Saccharomyces cerevisiae S288C: one gene and its partners. The gene in region 3 interacts genetically with the main gene of each other region. Each region holds a gene or a part of one and is shown on either strand. Other genes may lie near its edges.

Region 1 (7,568 bases), on a different chromosome or scaffold from region 3:
GGACCCAAAAGAAAGGGAAAAGTAAGTACGCAGGTGTAGTTTTGAATGAGTGGCAGTGATAGAGGAGACCGGTTATACGATGTGTTGGGGGTGACGAGAGATGCGACCGTGCAAGAGATTAAAACTGCTTACAGAAAGCTTGCCCTGAAACATCATCCGGACAAGTATGTGGATCAAGACTCAAAGGAGGTAAATGAAATCAAATTCAAAGAGATCACTGCCGCTTACGAGATCTTGAGCGATCCGGAGAAGAAATCACATTACGACTTGTATGGTGATGATAATGGTGCCGCTAGCAGCGGTGGCGCTAATGGCTTTGGAGATGAAGATTTTATGAACTTCTTTAACAATTTCTTCAATAATGGAAGTCACGATGGAAATAATTTCCCTGGCGAGTATGATGCGTACGAAGAGGGCAACTCTACAAGCTCTAAGGATATCGATATCGATATATCTCTTACTTTGAAGGATTTGTACATGGGCAAGAAGCTGAAGTTTGATTTAAAGAGACAGGTCATCTGTATAAAGTGCCACGGTTCTGGCTGGAAACCAAAGAGGAAAATTCACGTTACACACGATGTGGAATGTGAATCATGCGCTGGAAAGGGTTCAAAGGAACGTCTGAAGAGGTTTGGTCCCGGTTTGGTAGCTTCGCAATGGGTGGTCTGTGAGAAATGTAATGGTAAGGGGAAGTACACTAAAAGACCCAAGAATCCAAAGAACTTTTGCCCCGATTGCGCAGGCTTGGGGCTCCTGTCAAAGAAGGAAATCATCACAGTGAACGTGGCTCCGGGACACCACTTTAACGACGTAATTACAGTCAAGGGGATGGCGGACGAGGAAATCGATAAGACCACATGTGGTGATTTAAAGTTCCATCTCACTGAAAAACAAGAAAACTTGGAGCAGAAGCAAATCTTTTTGAAGAACTTTGACGACGGCGCCGGGGAAGATTTGTATACAAGCATTACCATATCGTTAAGCGAGGCCTTGACGGGATTTGAGAAATTTTTGACAAAAACCTTCGACGACAGGTTACTAACATTGAGCGTTAAACCTGGCAGAGTAGTAAGACCTGGTGACACCATCAAAATCGCCAATGAAGGTTGGCCCATTTTAGATAACCCTCATGGCCGGTGCGGCGATCTGTATGTTTTCGTTCATATTGAATTTCCACCAGATAACTGGTTCAATGAAAAATCAGAACTACTAGCAATAAAAACGAATCTGCCGTCATCTTCATCTTGTGCCTCACATGCGACTGTAAATACTGAAGATGACAGCAACCTGACTAACAACGAAACTATATCAAATTTCCGGATCATTCACACGGACGATCTTCCAGAAGGGATAAGGCCGTTCAAGCCAGAAGCACAGGATTCAGCGCATCAGAAAGCAAGAAGTTCGTACTGCTGTATCCAATGATGGCATCAATAACTTTTTATTCTATTTTTTTTTTTTTTTCATAAGTTATCCTACCTGTATATATGTATATATATGAAATTCATTTACTGAATGCGGTGAAGAATGAAGTCTTTCGCACCTTCAGTAGAAAAATAGGAAGAATCCCCATCGCGGCGGACATAAAGCAAGCATACAAAGGCCTTCTATCAGAACAGCGATTGCGAACTTGGAGCAACAATGGCGTCCCAGGTTAACGCCTTATTACTGCCGGTCATAGAGTCTACGCCGCTTCATCAAATAACCAAGGTAGCATTGACGACCACACTCACAAGTAAACAAAGCGATTACAAGTTCAAAGAAATAGCCGTGCCGTTAACAAAATCACTACAACTGTACGAGAAGGCGCAAAGAAGACAAGATTTAAGGGCAAGCTTAAAAGCACTGGAGAGTATCATTTACCAAACGCACTTCCAATGGAATAACCCGCTCCCACGACATGCGCATCTCTTCCAAAAACACTACCACTTTCTACTGACTCACTGGCCATTTGAGAACCACAGAGACTTGGTAGATTCCATCGCTGTAAACAATGGGAAACTAAATTCAACGTCTTCAAGGAGCGTCTGGCTGAAGGCGGATTGGATAACACTGTTTAACGTTAAAAACCCTTGGGTCCAAACGCCGCCATCGTTAATGCGTCTGAGTGGGACAGATCTTGATACCTTCACACCAGAGAGGATATTCCTGATAAATTCTCTTGGAAACCACTACAAATTTTTAATAGCGAACAGTCATCTAAGCTACAATCACAAAAAATACCCCTCCCCTGGCGTGCAAATTCCTGTCAGGAACGCTCTTGGCGAAGTTTCTCCGGCCAAACAAATTGCCCAACTTTTCGCAAGACAGCTGTCTCATATTTACAAGAGCCTCTTCATAGAAAACCCCCCGCTCTCTCCTGAGAACGAGCTGGCATTGACTGCCGTCTTCTATGACGAGACTGTAGAGCGACGCCTTAGAAGGCTCTATATGCGAGCTTGTGCAAGGGCATATACGACTACTAATGCCGACTCCACCACGGAGCCTTTGATGTTTCATTGCACCCGGTGGGAAGTTGATTAGTTGTTGTTGGCTGTTATACTGGAGTAAATGTCACGTGCCACTGTGGCCGTGTCAGGTCACGTGAAGAGAGAAATTCGGCCACAGTTGTGGTCCTAAACAAGGACTGAAAAAGATCGCAGAAACTAGCAACGTCGGATAGCGGTATGGTTGAACCAAAGTCCAGTTTTTAGTCATAGCCGGTTGAGGGATGATCTGCCGTTCAGTGTTCTGCGTTCAATAATACGCATATATATATATATCAAGGTATCAACACAATACTTGAACAGGTTAGGCTCGTACTAAAGCCTGGAAGTTTTTATCTTTCTGTAACATTTTTCTTTCTTGAGGTGTGTGTGTGTATAGATTAGCAGGGAATTATCTAAGATATGTCCAGGGAAGGTTATCCAAACTTTGAAGAGGTAGAAATTCCTGACTTTCAGGAAACTAACAACACCGTTCCAGATCTTGATGATTTAGAATTAGAGTATGACCAATATAAAAATAATGAAAATAATGACACGTTTAATGATAAGGACTTAGAGAGCAATTCTGTAGCAAAGCACAACGCAGTGAACAGCTCAAAGGGCGTAAAAGGCTCGAAGATTGACTACTTTAATCCTTCAGATGTCTCGTTGTATGACAATTCCGTTTCCCAATTTGAAGAAACAACGGTATCGCTAAAAGAGTACTATGACCACAGTATACGATCTCATCTCACGGTGAAAGGAGCATGTAGTTATCTTAAGAGTGTTTTTCCCATCATCAACTGGCTACCACATTACAATTTTAGCTGGTTTACTGCGGATCTTATTGCAGGAATTACCATTGGCTGTGTTCTCGTGCCGCAATCCATGTCATATGCACAAGTCGCCACGCTACCAGCGCAGTATGGGTTGTACTCCTCGTTTATTGGTGCTTACTCCTACTCTTTTTTCGCTACATCAAAAGATGTTTGTATTGGGCCCGTGGCTGTCATGTCTTTGCAGACCGCCAAAGTCATTGCGGATGTCACGGCAAAATATCCTGATGGAGATTCTGCCATAACTGGTCCCGTTATTGCAACGACTCTAGCGTTACTATGTGGTATCATTTCGGCAGCAGTTGGCTTCTTGCGTCTAGGGTTTCTTGTCGAACTGATTTCCTTAAATGCAGTCGCTGGATTTATGACTGGATCCGCGTTTAATATCTTATGGGGTCAAGTTCCAGCACTAATGGGTTACAATAGTTTGGTTAACACGAGAGCTGCCACCTATAAAGTGGTCATAGAGACCTTGAAACATTTACCAGATACCAAACTGGACGCAGTTTTTGGGCTAATCCCGCTTTTCCTTCTTTATGTTTGGAAATGGTGGTGCGGAACATATGGACCAAGGTTGAACGATAGATACAACTCCAAAAACCCAAGGTTACACAAAATTATCAAATGGACATATTTTTACGCTCAGGCTTCCAGAAATGGTATCATTATTATTGTATTCACTTGTATTGGTTGGGCAATCACAAGAGGCAAATCTAAATCGGAGAGGCCCATCAGCATCCTAGGCTCAGTTCCATCCGGTTTGAAAGAAGTCGGGGTTTTCCATGTTCCACCAGGATTAATGTCTAAGCTTGGTCCAAATTTGCCTGCATCCATTATTGTGTTATTGTTGGAGCATATCGCTATTTCGAAGTCTTTTGGTAGAATCAACGACTATAAAGTCGTCCCCGACCAAGAATTGATTGCTATTGGTGTCTCGAACCTTTTAGGTACTTTCTTCAATGCTTACCCAGCGACTGGTTCCTTTTCAAGGTCTGCTTTGAAGGCTAAATGTAATGTCCGTACGCCGTTATCTGGTTTGTTTTCGGGTTCATGTGTTCTTTTAGCATTATATTGTTTGACCGGCGCATTCTTTTACATTCCAAAGGCTACCTTATCTGCAGTTATCATTCACGCTGTATCTGATCTTTTGGCCTCTTATCAAACTACCTGGAATTTCTGGAAGATGAATCCATTGGACTTCATCTGTTTCATTGTCACCGTCCTAATAACGGTATTTGCCTCTATTGAAGATGGTATTTATTTTGCCATGTGCTGGTCATGTGCAATGCTCATTTTAAAAGTGGCTTTCCCAGCGGGAAAATTCTTGGGTCGTGTGGAAGTCGCTGAAGTTACTGATGCTTACGTCAGACCGGACTCCGATGTGGTTAGCTACGTGTCTGAAAATAACAATGGTATTTCCACTTTAGAAGATGGTGGTGAGGATGACAAGGAAAGTTCCACCAAATACGTCACAAATTCCTCCAAGAAAATAGAAACAAACGTTCAAACAAAGGGCTTTGATTCTCCATCTTCTTCGATTAGCCAGCCAAGGATAAAATACCATACTAAATGGATACCGTTTGATCATAAATACACAAGAGAATTGAACCCGGACGTTCAGATTCTCCCCCCACCAGACGGTGTTCTTGTTTATAGGCTATCAGAGAGCTACACCTATCTCAACTGTTCCAGACACTACAACATCATAACCGAAGAAGTTAAAAAAGTTACCAGACGTGGTCAATTAATTCGCCACAGAAAAAAATCTGACCGTCCATGGAATGATCCTGGTCCATGGGAAGCACCTGCTTTCTTAAAGAATTTGAAATTCTGGAAGAAAAGGGAGAACGACCCTGAATCCATGGAAAACGCGCCCAGCACCTCAGTCGATGTTGAAAGAGATGACAGGCCATTGCTGAAAATACTATGCTTAGACTTCTCACAAGTGGCACAGACAGACGCTACGGCTCTTCAATCATTGGTTGATTTGAGAAAGGCCATAAATCAATATGCAGATAGGCAAGTTGAATTCCACTTTGTGGGTATCATTTCACCATGGGTGAAGAGAGGTTTAATTAGCAGAGGATTTGGTACTCTGAACGAAGAATACAGTGATGAATCCATTGTTGCCGGTCATACAAGTTATCACGTCGCCAGAGTACCTCAAGGCGAAGAAAATCCTGAAAAATATAGCGTTTATACCGCTTCAGGAACAAATCTACCTTTCTTCCATATCGATATCCCAGATTTTGCTAAATGGGATATCTAGCCAATGCATTTACAATGGACATGCAAACATTTATATCATCTCTTTTTTTCTATATTCCTAAACCAAAAAGTTTTCCCCCTTAAAAGTATACATTTAATATCATAATGAGATAGACACTGTTTATATAATAAGAAATAATAGGTAGGATGGTGCCATCGTGAGCATATACATACCTATAAATATTTACCTTATTTTTATTTTATTTTTCTCTTCCTCTCAGGAACAAAAGAAATACAACCGTTATTAATGTTATTGTCGTGGGACAGCTCCCCTTTTTTTTTATTTACTTACCACAGATAGAAAAACATGAAAGCAGCACTTACAAATAGTATAATAGTGAAAGTTAATAACGTAATATTTTTGACCTTCTGCCACCACATTATTTCTTTTATATTGACCGCTTTGCGCCTAAATTTATTACTGCTGCTATTTAGTTGGGAAGTTTTATCCACCAATAAAGAAACTCTTTCTTGTCTCTCCAAGAACTTGTCGATGTTATCGTTCATTATCTGGATGACGTCCTTTATTTGGTCTTCGGTGGCATCCCCGATGTCACTTATAGTGTTCTGACCATTCCCATTACTAGATTGGCCATTTCCAGAACTATTTAAAGTTTGGTTACGGTATTCGACCAGCTCTTCATGGAAAGAGTCTAGTATTTGACCTACATGCGAACTTAAAAGTTCGTTTGTAGCGTTGGACTCGTATTCCTGCAGCCCACTTAGTATCCTGATGGGCAAAATCTTGGGCATATCTACTAATGTGAAGCAAACGTACACAGTTTTGGGGTCATGGTCATCCGTGGAGTAGAAACAATCGAATCCGTCGATGAGATTCATTGACATCTTGGTAACTTTGTTCCCCTTGATCGGAACTACTTTGGGTAATACCATATCCATGATCAAATTATGGAAAATGACCGGCGTTATCTGCTCGTTTGCTGAAGTTATTGTACCATAGTTTTCGTTTTTCTGGAACGGCTGGAAACAACTAGATATTGTTTCACCATTTTTTATAACTTCCACATAACTTACTAAGACCATATGCAAAATCAAGCAAAATGGAACGTTAGTCTACTGAATGTAACATAGTAAAATTATGGCATGGGGGGATGAGCATTCGCATAATCCCTTTTTTAAACATTTGTTAATTGTGTAGAAATATTTATACATACCATTAAAGCGTTTCATTTGGTAAAAATATAAAAGTCCAATGCTCTAACAGCTTAATAAATTGTCGCTTTTCACTCTGTTCTTCAAATTTAATAGCTGTTGCTCCAACTTAGTCAAGTGCTAGAAAATTCATAGAGGGGCTTTTTTTCATCATTATTGTGACCTCATTTTTTCTTTCTTCGATCGTTTGAGGCGAATATTACCCGGGCGCTTGGTGGTAATGCGTTGTTTTAAATATTATATATAATGAATGTGGTGGTAGAATATATAGTTTACTATTTTTAGATAATGCAAATGGGTGGGGTGAAGGCGATGAAAAGGTGGGGGGTCTATCAGAGAAACCTGCTGTCACACCAGCCCTTTACGACATATTGAATCTCTCTCGTAGGTGCGGAAGTCTTATTGGTGACTTTGCCTAAATTTAGTTTTCCGCATGGTTTGAGCATTGTGCCGCCATTGTTGAACCATGGCTTGACGTCTGAGTGTACGCGGACCAAAGAACTTTTCAAATCCGCCGTTGCATGTTCGCTTGCGGATTCACGGCCTTGCGAAGGTTCCGTATTGCTTGTCGTTGCAACAAAGTGCAAATTCCAGGGGGTAGAATCGCCAAAAAGATCATTTCTTGTTTCATGGACCATGTCAGACCATAATTTTTTCCTAGTAATTAGGGCAAGCTTAATATCGTTCGTAGAGACATTTGGCTCCTTTTTGATTTCCAAAGACCGAATTTCGGAATACGTTAGCTGCTTCAACAGATGGTCATCTACTTCGACTTCGGGTAAAATACTCTTCCTTTTACATGATGTTTCAATAGAGTATAACTTTA
Region 2 (5,683 bases), on a different chromosome or scaffold from region 3:
TGCAGAATTAATGAAAAAAGGTAAAGAGATTGAATACCTGAAAAGAGAACTAGATGATTGTTCAGGTCAGTTGAGCGAAGAAAAAATCAAAAACAGTTCCTTAATACAGGAAATGGGAAAAAATAGAGAAGAAATGATTAAATCAATTGAGAATTTCTTTTCAGAAGATAAAGCACACCATTTACTGCAATTTAACAAATTCGAAGAAAGAGTTCATGATTTGTTTGAAAAAAAATTACAAAAGCACTTCGATGTGGCAAAAGATACCCTTAACGTAGGCTTGAGGAACACCACTGTAGAGTTGAGTAGTAATACAGAGACCATGCTAAAGCAGCAATATGAAGATATCAAAGAAAATCTTGAACAAAAAATGTCATCCAGTAAGGATGAAATGGCAAAAACAATAAATGAGCTGAGTGTAACGCAAAAAGGACTTATAATGGGAGTACAAGAAGAACTATTAACGTCATCAGGGAATATTCAAACTGCTTTGGTAAGTGAAATGAATAACACAAGGCAAGAGCTTCTTGATGATGCGTCTCAAACAGCCAAAAATTACGCGAGTTTGGAAAACTTGGTGAAGGCATATAAGGCAGAAATAGTTCAGTCGAATGAGTATGAAGAAAGGATAAAACATTTGGAGAGTGAAAGGTCAACTTTGTCTTCACAAAAAAATCAGATTATTAGCTCTCTTGGTACTAAAGAAGCACAATATGAAGATTTGGTCAAAAAGTTGGAGGCGAAGAATATCGAAATTTCACAAATTTCTGGCAAAGAACAAAGTTTAACTGAAAAAAATGAAAACCTTTCTAATGAACTGAAAAAAGTCCAGGATCAACTAGAAAAACTCAACAATTTGAACATCACAACAAAATCAAATTACGAAAATAAAATATCTTCTCAGAATGAAATTGTGAAGGCTTTAGTTTCCGAAAACGACACTCTGAAGCAAAGAATTCAACAGCTAGTAGAAATCAAAGAAAATGAACAGAAGGATCATACAACCAAACTGGAGGCTTTCCAAAAGAACAATGAGCAGCTACAAAAGCTAAACGTCGAAGTAGTACAACTGAAGGCTCATGAATTGGAGCTTGAAGAGCAGAATAGGCACTTAAAAAATTGTTTAGAAAAAAAGGAAACTGGTGTTGAAGAATCACTAAGCGATGTAAAAACCCTAAAACAGCAAGTGATAGTTCTGAAATCGGAGAAGCAAGATATAACAGCTGAAAAGTTAGAACTTCAAGATAACCTCGAAAGTTTGGAAGAAGTCACCAAAAATTTACAGCAAAAGGTGCAATCGCAAAAGAGGGAATTAGAACAGAAGATTAAAGAGCTAGAAGAGATAAAAAACCATAAACGGAACGAGCCTAGTAAAAAAGGTACACAAAATTTTACTAAACCATCAGATTCACCCAAAAAAAATGCTACGACGTCCAACTTATTTCCTAATAACTCTGCTGCCATTCACTCTCCTATGAAAAAGTGTCCTAAGGTGGATCATATAAGTAAGTCAAGAATTAATTCATCCAAAGAAACATCCAAATTTAACGATGAGTTCGATCTTTCTTCATCATCAAATGACGACCTAGAGTTAACCAACCCTTCCCCAATCCAAATTAAACCAGTGAGAGGAAAAATCAAGAAGGGTTCAAATTGCATGAAACCTCCAATTTCTTCAAGAAAAAAATTACTACTAGTAGAAGACGAAGACCAGTCATTAAAAATAAGCAAGAAAAGGAGAAGGAAATAGAGGATAATGGAAAATTTGAAATCGTTTTGTGCGAATACATTTCATTTTGTTCCCTGCGTAAGAAGTATGCATAGTAAAATTAGCGTAGATATAGTTTTTTGAGGTATATACTTATTCATAGCTTATAAATATTTACAGTGTTGTAACTCTAGTAAAAACAAAAGAGGTCATCTAGATTGCATTCTCCTTATTTTATCACTGATATCGTCTTCTTCAAGAAAGTGCAGGATCTTGGTGCACGACTTAGGATCACCAACTTTCTCAATATGAAGTACTGGTATGTCGAAGCAATATTCCTTCCACCATTTTGCGTTTCTTCGGTCAGTTATGTTGACTATCTCTAGTGAAACTGCTTTATTATGAAATTCCTTTCTTTCAAATACATCATCTATCACTTCCTTTGCTTGATCGCATAACCCACAATTAGGCTTTGAGAAGAAAGTTAATTTCACTCCAGCATCATGTAACAATACCCTCGAAGTATGTATAGAACAGCGGAACGCTCTCAACATGGTGATATGTTCCTTAAGTTTTATGTCTTACTGAATAATTACGAATTTCTGTTATGAATTAAACGAAACTTTACAATGCATCAACTCCGAACTCTCTACGGAAAGGTAACAACTTGCGCACATCATAGACCCATAAAGCGAAAAAAAGGGAAGTCAATCACAGTTATATTGACATTCCAAAGCCAGTAACTAAAAAACTACAAAAATGGATTCTCACAGTCATATTAAGTGACCTCTTATTATTTCCCTTAAAACGGTAATTCTTAATAAAGAACGTCAGTGTTCCGAGTGATAACGCCGTGAAGCACCCTGCTTCATTACATATGAAATCGTGGGGAGAAAAAATCGTGAAAACAATATAGAGAATAAGTGAAGTTGAAGCTCCACAAGCCCTTGTAAAGTAAACTTAGATTGAAGCGATGGTATTAACGAGGCAAGTACTAGAGGAAGTGGAGAACACATTTATTGAATTACTTAGGAGTAAAATAGGACCTCTCGTAAAATCGCACGCAGGAACAAACTTTTGTTCATATGATGATAAAGCAAATGGCGTAGATTTGGTAACTGCTTTAGACAAACAAATTGAATCTATAATCAAGGAAAATTTAACGGCCAAGTATCCCAGTTTCAAATTTATCGGAGAAGAAACTTATGTAAAAGGTGTCACGAAAATAACTAACGGCCCTACATTTATTGTTGATCCCATCGATGGTACTACTAATTTTATTCACGGTTACCCCTATAGTTGTACATCTCTAGGTTTAGCTGAAATGGGGAAGCCGGTTGTTGGTGTGGTTTTCAATCCTCACTTAAACCAACTATTCCATGCTTCCAAAGGCAATGGAGCTTTCTTAAATGATCAGGAGATAAAGGTTTCAAAAAGGCCATTGATTTTGCAAAAATCCTTAATTGCTTTAGAAGGAGGTTCGGAAAGAACTGAAGGTTCCCAAGGAAACTTTGATAAGAAAATGAATACTTATAAAAACTTACTAAGTGAGTCCGGCGCCTTTGTTCACGGGTTCAGAAGTGCAGGAAGTGCTGCCATGAACATATGCTACGTAGCGAGCGGCATGCTTGATGCTTATTGGGAAGGTGGCTGCTGGGCTTGGGATGTTTGTGCCGGTTGGTGTATTCTTGAGGAAGCAGGAGGAATAATGGTTGGCGGAAATTGTGGAGAATGGAACATTCCATTAGACAGAAGATGTTACTTGGCTATTAGAGGTGGATGTGAGTCGATGGAGCAGAAGCGATTTGCAGAATCGTTTTGGCCTCACGTTGCGGGTGAGTTAGAATACTAAATGCCCCCCTCAGGTGTCGTTAAATAAGCTACATCTAAGAAAAGTTTATATAGTACTTCACGCAATTCCTACTAGTATTTTTTTCCAGTACAGGACGATATCTTGAAGCAGCAACTTGATTTCACAGGTCACTTAGTGTGGGCTTCTGACTCAAGAATAGCAAGTATTACATGCATGCGGCCCTCTCCTTTAACAGCGCGATATACGTGAAGAAAAATTTCAATGAAGAGTAATGCGCTTATTATCAACTTCGATTGAAGGGGTCCTATATCAGTATGCTACAAGGGAAGGTTGTTCGATAAACATAAGCTTCTCATTAGCATGAGTTCTATAGATAATGACAGCGATGTGGATTTAACAGAAGATTTAGCCGTGGCCAAGATCGTTAAAGAGAATCCTGTAGCTAGAAAAATGGTTAGGTATATTTTATCGAGAGGAGAATCTCAAAATTCGATCATAACAAGAAACAAGTTACAATCTGTTATACATGAAGCTGCTCGCGAGGAAAACATAGCAAAACCGTCTTTTAGTAAAATGTTTATGGACATAAATGCTATACTGTATAACGTATATGGGTTTGAATTACAAGGATTGCCGTCAAAAAATAATATGAACGCTGGCGGTAATGGAAGCAATAGCAATACAAATAAATCAATGCCTGAGCCACTGGGACATAGAGCCCAGAAATTTATCTTGCTAAACAATGTCCCGCACTCAAAAAATTTTGACGATTTCAAGATTTTACAAAGCGCTCACACTTATGAAGAGCTAATAGTTACCGGAGAGTATATTGGTGACGATATAGCTTCAGGAACTTCCAATACCTTAGAAAGCAAGTTGAGTACAGATCGAGATCTTGTTTACAAGGGTGTTTTGAGCGTCATTTTATGCATTGTTTTCTTCTCTAAGAATAACATATTACATCAGGAATTGATCAAATTTCTAGAGACATTTGGCATTCCAAGCGATGGTTCAAAGATTGCTATACTGAACATTACTATTGAAGATTTGATAAAAAGTTTAGAAAAGCGCGAATATATAGTCAGATTGGAGGAGAAATCCGATACCGACGGGGAAGTGATATCATACAGGATAGGTAGAAGAACTCAGGCTGAGCTTGGACTAGAGTCTCTTGAAAAATTGGTGCAAGAAATCATGGGCCTTGAAAAGGAGCAGACTAAAAGTTTGCACGATGATATAATAAAAAGCATTGGCGATTCATATTCTATATAGCATTGCATAGGTGTCCATGTAGTTTAGGTGCGCATCTTTTTTGTCGAGGAAATAGTGAAGATGAATACGAAATAAACTATGGGCAAATAGTTACGAAAAAAGACTGGACTTAAACGGGTTACTATATATTTGTATAAGTTATCTCCTTGTTTTCTTTTTACTCAACCATCATATTAATTTGCAAGCTTACTTAACAAGTCTTGTATACTAGAAGAAACCCCTCCGGAATTCTCAACACCTTCGTCGGTTTGGGCGCCGACGTGGCCTTCTATATCTAACTCATAATGTCCATCCTCACTGTTGAAAGTACCATCTTCACTCGTCTTCGAATCAAGATGAACCTTTTTTTCCGGTATGTCATTAGCGTCATCATGACCTATCATATCATGTGTTCGTTTCATACCAAATTGATTGTCACTAGGATTATGAGTAGAGTTTTTATGTTCGCTATCTGTCTTTTCTACAACTTCATTCTTCTTATCTGTGGTGCTAATATTAGTAACGCCATAATTGCTGTCATTGGATCTATCATCGTAATTTTTGTCATCATCATCATCATCATCATCATCATCATTATCACCATCATCGTCATCGTCATCTCCATCCCCCACTTCATACGTAGGAATAATATTGTCTTCATCAACGTTTTTATTTAATCTGGATGGGTCTTTAGCAGATAAAACGAATTCTATTTCACTTAACATATTCTGTTCCTCATCTAGATGCCTTTTTTCATCGTCCAGTGTGCTTTGCAGTTTATGGATACCGCTTTCTCTTTTTAGAATTGATTCATTTATTATATCTTTAGCCATGTTCCCAATCTTACTTATTGTTTTAAAATTTTCCTCGTAAACTGAGCTGGATGGATCCAATTCATCTGATGATTTGTC
Region 3 (3,222 bases):
ATTTGATGTTGGTTCCGGAAATGTTGAGAGTCAAGATTCACGAGAAGCAACTGCAAAACGTTAAGGTCGGGTGGTTCCTGCACACACCATTCCCTTCGAGTGAAATTTACAGAATCTTACCTGTCAGACAAGAGATTTTGAAGGGTGTTTTGAGTTGTGATTTAGTCGGGTTCCACACATACGATTATGCAAGACATTTCTTGTCTTCCGTGCAAAGAGTGCTTAACGTGAACACATTGCCTAATGGGGTGGAATACCAGGGCAGATTCGTTAACGTAGGGGCCTTCCCTATCGGTATCGACGTGGACAAGTTCACCGATGGGTTGAAAAAGGAATCCGTACAAAAGAGAATCCAACAATTGAAGGAAACTTTCAAGGGCTGCAAGATCATAGTTGGTGTCGACAGGCTGGATTACATCAAAGGTGTGCCTCAGAAGTTGCACGCCATGGAAGTGTTTCTGAACGAGCATCCAGAATGGAGGGGCAAGGTTGTTCTGGTACAGGTTGCAGTGCCAAGTCGTGGAGATGTGGAAGAGTACCAATATTTAAGATCTGTGGTCAATGAGTTGGTCGGTAGAATCAACGGTCAGTTCGGTACTGTGGAATTCGTCCCCATCCATTTCATGCACAAGTCTATACCATTTGAAGAGCTGATTTCGTTATATGCTGTGAGCGATGTTTGTTTGGTCTCGTCCACCCGTGATGGTATGAACTTGGTTTCCTACGAATATATTGCTTGCCAAGAAGAAAAGAAAGGTTCCTTAATCCTGAGTGAGTTCACAGGTGCCGCACAATCCTTGAATGGTGCTATTATTGTAAATCCTTGGAACACCGATGATCTTTCTGATGCCATCAACGAGGCCTTGACTTTGCCCGATGTAAAGAAAGAAGTTAACTGGGAAAAACTTTACAAATACATCTCTAAATACACTTCTGCCTTCTGGGGTGAAAATTTCGTCCATGAATTATACAGTACATCATCAAGCTCAACAAGCTCCTCTGCCACCAAAAACTGATGAACCCGATGCAAATGAGACGATCGTCTATTCCTGGTCCGGTTTTCTCTGCCCTCTCTTCTATTCACTTTTTTTATACTTTATATAAAATTATATAAATGACATAACTGAAACGCCACACGTCCTCTCCTATTCGTTAACGCCTGTCTGTAGCGCTGTTACTGAAGCTGCGCAAGTAGTTTTTTCACCGTATAGGCCCTCTTTTTCTCTCTCTTTCTTTCTCTCCCGCGCTGATCTCTTCTTCGAAACATCATGAATAAAAAGAAAAAGGAAATCAAGAAAAAAAAGCCATAATTTATCCCACATTTTTTTTTATTGTCGCTGTTCACACCGCATAACGAAGATATTGGCTACATAAACAATTGACATTGGATCTCTAGTTTTACGTTGTTTTCAACTGCATCTTTTTCTTCTTTCTTAGCACGGAGCCCTTACGTCTTCTTTTCTATCCCATCGCCCTTTTTGCCTCTATTCTCCCCTATATAGCCATTTTAGAAAGTAACTTCAATTTGAAGAAGACAAAAATGGGTCAATTGCTTTCCCATCCGTTGACGGAGAAGACCATAGAATATAATGAATATAAAAACAACCAGGCGTCAACTGGTATTGTTCCACGATTTTACAATTGTGTGGGGTCCATGCAAGGCTATCGTTTGACTCAGGAAGATGCACATCTAATTAGAAATGAAAACTCTGTTGTGTACGTACGATTTTTCAACCCATTCATAGACAAATACGAAACCCTGTCATTGAACGTCTTCGCAGTATTCGATGGTCATGGTGGAGATGATTGTTCGAAATTTCTAAGCGGCGGCCGCCACCATCGCGATGGTAACGGCAGTAGCAACGGTAATGGTGAACCCAACGCTGGCCTGATCAAATGGATTGCGTATAGTTTCGAAAACCACCATTACACATCTACAACTAATAACGACTCATCAAAATTTAAAAGATCCTTCAATACGTTGGAAGGACTTGTTTCTCAAATTTTTAAAGACGCTTTCATATTGCAAGATGAAGAGTTATATCGACATTTTGCCAACAGTTCGTGTGGATCTACAGCAGTAGTAGCATGCATCATAAACGAGGAATCACTGTATGTGGCTAACTGTGGTGATTCGCGATGTATTCTTTCCTCCAAATCGAATGGCATAAAGACGATGTCTTTCGATCATAAGCCACAACACATAGGAGAATTGATACGTATAAACGATAATGGTGGTACTGTCTCTCTTGGAAGAGTGGGTGGAGTACTGGCTCTCAGTAGGGCATTTAGTGATTTCCAATTCAAGAGAGGTGTCACTTATCCACATAGAAGGACAAAACTAACAAATATTACCCAGAATTTAACTTATGGAACCCCACCACAAGAAGCACAAGTTACCGTTGAACCAGACGTATTGATGCACAAGATTGACTATTCTAAAGATGAGTTTTTAGTACTGGCTTGCGACGGTATATGGGATATTTATAACAACAAACAGTTAATTCACTTTATAAAGTATCACCTGGTATCAGGGACGAAGTTGGATACAATAATAACAAAATTGTTGGACCACGGGATAGCGCAGGCAAATAGCAATACTGGTGTCGGCTTTGACAATATGACTGCCATCATTGTAGTGCTAAACCGGAAAGGCGAAACATTGCAAGACTGGTTTAATAAAATGAAGACCCGTTTGGAAAGAGAAAGGGGCCTAGTGTAAGGAAAAAAAATTATTTTTCTTCTTCCTTTTTCTCATACATATCTGAACGTGTGGTTAATGTGTCTGTGTATTAGTGTATAGGATCAACTGCTTGGGAGATGAAATAACAAAAGTACCTTAAAACGACCTCATTATCACATTTTTTTTTTTACTTTATTATTTTATTGTGCTTTTTAGTGTTGTAGAAAACCAAAGCAATCCTTTTAAATGAATTTTTATATACATACGTGTATATGAATATGAATATGAGTTTACCCCATCTTTAAGCTCTGCTGTGTTTTGGAAATAAATTCACATATTCATGTTTAGTTTTCCTTTTACATAATTTGGTCTTAGTACAGAGAAGTCCTCTTCTTCGCTTCTTCGCTTTTGGTCTTTCTGAAAAAGATCGATAAATAACATCCTAAAGACAGGAACTGAAAGACAACACAGAAAAGGTATACCAAGGGAAAAACATAATTAATCTCTATAGCTTTCAAGAGCGAAAATATCTTCCAAAT
Region 4 (6,264 bases), on a different chromosome or scaffold from region 3:
CCAATAAGCTAAACGTCCTCTCATTAGACAAAAATAAGAAGACTAAAAATTCTAATGGAAATTTGAAAAACTATTTGACTGAAGACGTTAGGGAAACTCTAACTATCGGTAATCTCTGTAATAATGCATCTTTCTCTCAAGAACATGCCATATTTCTGGGAAATCCTACTGATGTAGCTCTTTTAGAGCAATTGGCAAACTTTGAAATGCCTGATATCAGAAACACCGTTCAAAAAGTTCAGGAACTTCCATTTAACTCGAAAAGAAAATTAATGGCAACCAAGATTCTCAACCCTGTCGACAATAAGTGTACAGTTTATGTTAAAGGTGCATTTGAAAGAATTCTTGAGTACTCCACAAGTTATTTGAAATCAAAGGGTAAAAAAACTGAAAAGTTGACTGAAGCCCAAAAAGCTACGATAAATGAGTGCGCAAATTCTATGGCATCTGAAGGTTTGCGTGTCTTTGGATTTGCTAAACTAACTTTGTCTGATTCATCAACTCCTCTAACCGAAGACCTAATCAAAGATTTAACCTTTACTGGTTTAATCGGTATGAATGACCCACCAAGACCGAACGTTAAATTTGCCATCGAACAATTACTACAAGGTGGTGTCCATATTATTATGATCACTGGTGATTCTGAGAATACCGCAGTAAACATTGCAAAACAAATTGGTATTCCAGTTATTGATCCAAAGCTTTCCGTTTTATCCGGTGATAAATTAGATGAAATGTCAGATGATCAACTGGCCAATGTCATCGACCACGTTAATATTTTTGCTCGTGCTACGCCTGAGCATAAGTTAAACATTGTTCGTGCATTAAGAAAGAGGGGTGATGTGGTAGCAATGACTGGTGATGGTGTTAACGACGCTCCTGCGTTGAAACTTTCAGATATTGGTGTTTCTATGGGTAGAATTGGTACAGATGTAGCCAAAGAAGCCTCAGATATGGTCTTAACTGATGATGACTTCAGTACTATTTTAACTGCCATTGAAGAGGGTAAAGGTATCTTTAATAATATTCAGAATTTCCTGACTTTTCAATTGTCTACTTCTGTTGCCGCACTATCATTAGTTGCACTATCTACAGCGTTTAAACTACCCAATCCACTGAACGCAATGCAAATTCTTTGGATAAATATTTTAATGGATGGGCCACCAGCTCAATCCTTAGGTGTGGAACCTGTTGATCATGAAGTTATGAAAAAACCTCCAAGAAAACGTACCGATAAAATTTTGACCCATGATGTAATGAAACGTTTACTAACCACCGCGGCCTGTATCATCGTTGGGACAGTTTACATTTTTGTTAAAGAGATGGCCGAAGATGGTAAAGTAACTGCTAGAGATACTACTATGACATTTACTTGTTTTGTTTTTTTTGATATGTTTAATGCTTTGGCCTGCAGACATAACACAAAGTCAATCTTCGAAATCGGCTTTTTCACGAACAAAATGTTCAACTACGCCGTTGGACTGTCTCTGTTAGGTCAAATGTGCGCTATATATATACCATTTTTCCAAAGTATCTTTAAAACTGAGAAACTTGGTATCTCTGATATACTATTGTTATTGCTCATCAGCAGTAGCGTTTTCATCGTTGATGAATTGAGAAAATTGTGGACGAGGAAAAAGAATGAAGAAGACTCAACGTATTTCTCAAATGTTTGATATGTCACATTTTGTGCTTTTATCGTTTTTCCTTCCTTCCCTTTATCTTTCATGAGGACGCCCAACCCTATTGAGGTAAATGTACTAATTAATGGGAACATATGTAGATGTATATATGTACATATATTTACAACGGATACTAAGATAAACATGTATGGGCGACTTTTCGTATATACAAAGCAATATAAAATTTTATTCTTTCCTTCTTTTTCCGGACTAGATATAAAATCTCCGTAATCAGTGGTTATGATTTTCAAAAGTTAATCACAGTTTTATTTAAAACTGTATACAATTATTTGCAGCCGCCTTTCGCAATCTGTTCATAACAGCTAATCCTTCTCCTTCCTCATTTATACCTTCGACAAATATTAGGTCTACTTTATCATTTTCATCCACTTTTCTTAAAGCTGCAAACAAGTTAGTCTGTATTTCTTCACCAGATTGGCCAAGTCTTTCGATGATGAAAGTTTTCGAAGAAAAATCGGGTTCATTAAAGATCTTAGATTGTAAGTCGGAATCACGTAATTTTAGGGAAGTTAAAATCGCAATTTTTTTTATATTACTGTTGGCTTTTAATTCCGTTTCGATTAACCTCTTTAATCTTTCCATCCTATCAACGCCCTTAAGAATGCCATCGCCTTCGCAATGAGGAACTAGTAAAACAACTTTAGCTGAAGGGGAATAGTGTCTATACTTCATACCAGGCGTTCTTACCTTTTCGCCCTTTTCAACTGTTTTCTTATTCTCAACTTTACAAAGAGACCAAGCTTCACCACCCAATTTAACAATTTCTTCATATGTAAAACCGCCAGGTCGCAGTAGCGTAGGAGGATTACATAACCCATCAACAACAGTACTTTCTACACCAACCTTGCACGCTCCGCCATCAAGAATTATGGGAATTTTATCCTTTAGATCATGATAAACATGAGACGCTAAAGTAGGAGATGGCCTAGTAGACGCATTCGCTGAAGGAGCAGCTATTGGTGTATCGCTCAGGGCAATCAGTGCTCTAGCCACTGGATTAGCGGGTATGCGTACCGCAAACGTAGGCTGATCTGCGGTCGTTAACTTTGATAATGCACTATGCTCTGAAGATGGAACTGGCAAAAGAATTGTTAATGGGCCAGGCCAAAGGCTTGAAATTAATGGGCGATAGATTGAGGGTATGTTATCAAACAAGGATGTACCTGATAGATGCGGTTGATTAAAGACCTTTCTGTTAAGTTGATCAATGGATGAAACATGTGTAATCAAAGGATTGTCACTAGGCCTATTTTTGGCCCTGTATATACTAAGCACTGAATTATCATTTAAAGCAGAACCTCCAAGACCATAAACAGTTTCGGTTGGAAAAGCCACAGTCTCATCTGTATCTCTTATTATCCTCGCCGCTTCAACTAGCGCTGCTTCCGTTTCAGGATCTGTTATCGTTGGTAAGGAACCATCTATATGCGCATCAGGGGAGAAAATGATTGATAGCGGGTTAACTTTTAAGATCTTGGTATCAAACAGTGCTTTCGATGTCATTGCCAAAAAATGTCGTCCAAGGTACATACAATTCTAAAAATGGAATAATAAACAGGACTACCATTAAAAATGGAAACAGGTTTAGTGGTAAGTTAACAGCGCAGAAGAAAAAAAAAATTTGAGGAGAAGAATAAAGCTCTCGCTTCAAATATTATCAGCTTCAATAGGTATGTGCGATGAGGTTACTATCTTCTGGGTGAAAAAATAGTAAGGCTAGCGTAGATAATGATTTGAAATTTCTCAAAAAAATATTTTTGATACATATAATAATTTTGAAGCCTGAATTTTTCAACGAAATAGCCTTGTTGGCGCAATCGGTAGCGCGTATGACTCTTAATCATAAGGTTAGGGGTTCGAGCCCCCTACAGGGCTATCTTTTTTAGGCTCAAATCAAAAAAATGTCTAATATATTAAATTCTACTTCCTTTTTATATCTCAAAGAAGAAGGCATTTAACCCCATTCATATGGTTTACACTTGTGTTGAGATTTGTTGCTTGCGCTTCTTTTATCCTTTTAAACCGCTTATTTATCCTTTCCAACGATAAGGCTCAAATGACATCAATGTTCTCTTTTGTGTCACAAGAAATATAAATAACAACAATAAAACATTAGGTATTTAGTTGGAAGTCAAACTTGAAACTCTTCCCGGTTATGTTGTATTGGCAAGGAAAGAGCTGAATTGGTTGAGTGATGGGAGCTGGCACTCTTTTAAATGGATTAGAAAAGGAAAACTTTCCAAATAACATCCATTCAGATTTGCCTGCGTATCCTAACATGGATTCTCAAGAAGATGGCAATACTAGTAAGGAAAGTAAAAGAAATAGTCCAGTAAAACAGAAGTCCCAAAAAGATGAAGAAAAGTCATCTAAAATGGGGACTGCAAGCAACATATTCCATGAAAATAAAGATATACACGAAAGATCTGAACACACGGACGATTTTAATGATGGCTTAAAACTGGCTCCGGACTCTAGTCCAAGCTTGAAAGAGTGTCAATTTAAAAATTGGGAAAGTTTTTGGTGTAATACAGAAGGTTACAAAACTAAACACATGCAGCCCTTTCATTTTACAAGCGGATTAGAAGAAATAAAGGAACCGGTCATGGAATTGAATATTTCCACTTCACCATACAAGGGACAGAGGCCAAATTCAGCTCCAACCGAGTATTCAGCTGCCACAACAGCGTTTACCAAAACACAATTAGAGGTGAGTTTTCTAAAAACCAACTTGCTTACATACATTAAAAAAGAGATTGACATTTGCTTGTCAAGTGTTCCATTTTTTGACGACGCAGTTCAAATGCAAAAGAAATTCTTGGAATACAGAGATATTGACTTGGATGAAGAATATGAGCTCAAAATTTTGGGGGAACTTTTGAATGATTTAAACTTCTTTCATATGCAAGAAAACTCTTTGCTAAATAGAGAGCTAGCAGTTCGTAGATTCTCCAATCAACCTGAAAGTCAAAATTTACCTTCCATTAGGGATTTTAGAAATCCACTTTTGCCAATAGATAACCGCCCTTCTCCCCCATTAGGATTGAAAAGAAACGGAAAGTCTTTCGAGGAAACCTATGATTTCACGTCCAATACATCAAATTTTTGGGGAGAAAAAGCAGAACTACAAAACTCCATAACTGGTGGAACACCCTATTTTTTCCACCCTAACAATATACATCAAACAAAACCTTTTATGTCATTTGAAAATCAAAATGAACTTCTATTCCAGAGAAAAAATTCAGATTACAAGCAGCATTTTAACTCTGGAAGAAATATACATAATGGAGTGGAATCGAAATCTTACAGAGGTGTGGGGTTAAACGATAGTTATCAAAAGGGTTATGCAGCAATGACAAAGTCGTTTGGAAATATCGATTTAAATAGAATGCCCAGAAGAAGTAATGAAGAAATGTATAGCTGGTCACGTAATTGATCAATGAAAGTAAATAAAAAAAACTACTAATCATATATACATGTCTTGCATACGCACGTTTGTTTATATTATTTCGAGAAATGTTTTTTTGAAAGTTCTTCATTTTTTCTTCTTTTGGATGCTGCAATCATTTCTTGTTGACGTCTTCTTTTGGCCTTATCCATCTTAGGCACAGTAGTAATCTGCTTTCTTTCTTTATGCGCTTTACCGTTTTTTATACTTTCTTTCTCCTTTCTGGTCATTTTAGCCATTTTATCCATCCACTCAGATACTTCACAACCACTTTGTTTCATGACATTTATTATTGGTTTAATAGCTACTGAGTCTTGTTTAGTATAGAATGTGATAGCTTTACCTGACCGCCCACCTCTACCTGTTCTACCAATTCTGTGAACATAAGCCTGAGACGATCCTGGAACGTCATAATTGATGACCAGATTGACACCTTTGAAGTCAATACCACGAGCTAAAACGTCGGTACAGATCAAACACCATAATTCACCAGTTTTAAATCGTTCAATAATCCTGTCTCTTTGTAAGGCTGTTCTTTCTGCATGAATCACATCTACGTTAATCCTATCGTACATCAATTCATGATATAACGCTTTTGCTCTTGTAATAGACTCTAAAAATATTATGATCGGTGGCTTGAACTCACCCTCTTGAACGAGTTGTCTAATAGCAATTAGTTTACCCTCTTCATTACCACAAAATATTAATTTTTGTTCAATATTTGTATTTGCTGCTTCCTTGTGGCCAATAATAACTCTAACAGGATCCATCATTATACTTTGTGCAATCTCTTCTACATTGGATGGAATGGTCGCAGAAAACATCGCTTTACGCAACGATGGCTCTCTACAGGCGCTCAAAATATCGTCACTCTGTTCAACGAATGTTTTGTCAAACAATTTATCAGCTTCATCAAATATCAAATGCTTAACTTTGGAGAGATCGAGAGCTTCGTTTTTCACAACATCGATTAGTCTTAATGGGGTAGAAATGATTATATCATATTTCTTATCACTAACTACCTTGTTTTTCAATTTAGCGCCTAAAGATTTAGATAAGAGTGCAACTTGCAGAGGCCTTTTTTTCTCCAAAAATATCTTGTAAGATAGCTTA

The links.
Region 1: mutations in PTC4 (region 3) and SUL2 together harm fitness more than expected from each alone (negative genetic interaction), as found in Saccharomyces cerevisiae (one large-scale study listed by BioGRID).
Region 2: mutations in PTC4 (region 3) and INM2 together harm fitness less than expected from each alone (positive genetic interaction), as found in Saccharomyces cerevisiae (one large-scale study listed by BioGRID).
Region 4: mutations in PTC4 (region 3) and SPO74 together harm fitness more than expected from each alone (negative genetic interaction), as found in Saccharomyces cerevisiae (one large-scale study listed by BioGRID).

Annotation. Positions count from the first base shown.
Region 1 is NC_001144.5:320,656-328,223, forward strand, and holds SUL2 (sulfate permease), read left to right. Parts: upstream 1-2,888; coding exon 2,889-5,570; downstream 5,571-7,568. Other genes in the region: XDJ1 (Xdj1p), read left to right, coding at 46-1,425; GEP5 (Gep5p), read left to right, coding at 1,642-2,523; NYV1 (Nyv1p), read right to left, coding at 5,858-6,603, 6,745-6,760; GIS3 (Gis3p), read right to left, coding at 7,075-7,568. UniProt on the Saccharomyces cerevisiae protein: High affinity uptake of sulfate into the cell.
Region 2 is NC_001136.10:1,033,314-1,038,996, forward strand, and holds INM2 (inositol monophosphate 1-phosphatase INM2), read left to right. Parts: upstream 1-2,681; coding exon 2,682-3,560; downstream 3,561-5,683. Other genes in the region: ZIP1 (Zip1p), read left to right, coding at 1-1,750; MGP12 (Mgp12p), read right to left, coding at 1,918-2,262; Smc5-Smc6 complex subunit NSE3, read left to right, coding at 3,882-4,793; RTT103 (Rtt103p), read right to left, coding at 4,967-5,683. UniProt on the Saccharomyces cerevisiae protein: Responsible for the provision of inositol required for synthesis of phosphatidylinositol and polyphosphoinositides and involved in the inositol cycle of calcium signaling.
Region 3 is NC_001134.8:486,699-489,920, reverse strand, and holds PTC4 (type 2C protein phosphatase PTC4), read left to right. Parts: upstream 1-1,540; coding exon 1,541-2,722; downstream 2,723-3,222. Other genes in the region: alpha,alpha-trehalose-phosphate synthase (UDP-forming) TPS1, read left to right, coding at 1-1,016.
Region 4 is NC_001139.9:183,028-189,291, reverse strand, and holds SPO74 (Spo74p), read left to right. Parts: upstream 1-3,897; coding exon 3,898-5,139; downstream 5,140-6,264. Other genes in the region: Ca(2+)/Mn(2+)-transporting P-type ATPase PMR1, read left to right, coding at 1-1,676; HUR1 (Hur1p), read right to left, coding at 1,496-1,828; SUA5 (threonylcarbamoyladenylate synthase), read right to left, coding at 1,953-3,233; RNA-dependent ATPase ROK1, read right to left, coding at 5,208-6,264. UniProt on the Saccharomyces cerevisiae protein: Involved in the pathway that organizes the shaping and sizing of the prospore membrane (PSM) during sporulation. Probable component of a core structural unit of the scaffold that initiates synthesis of the prospore membrane.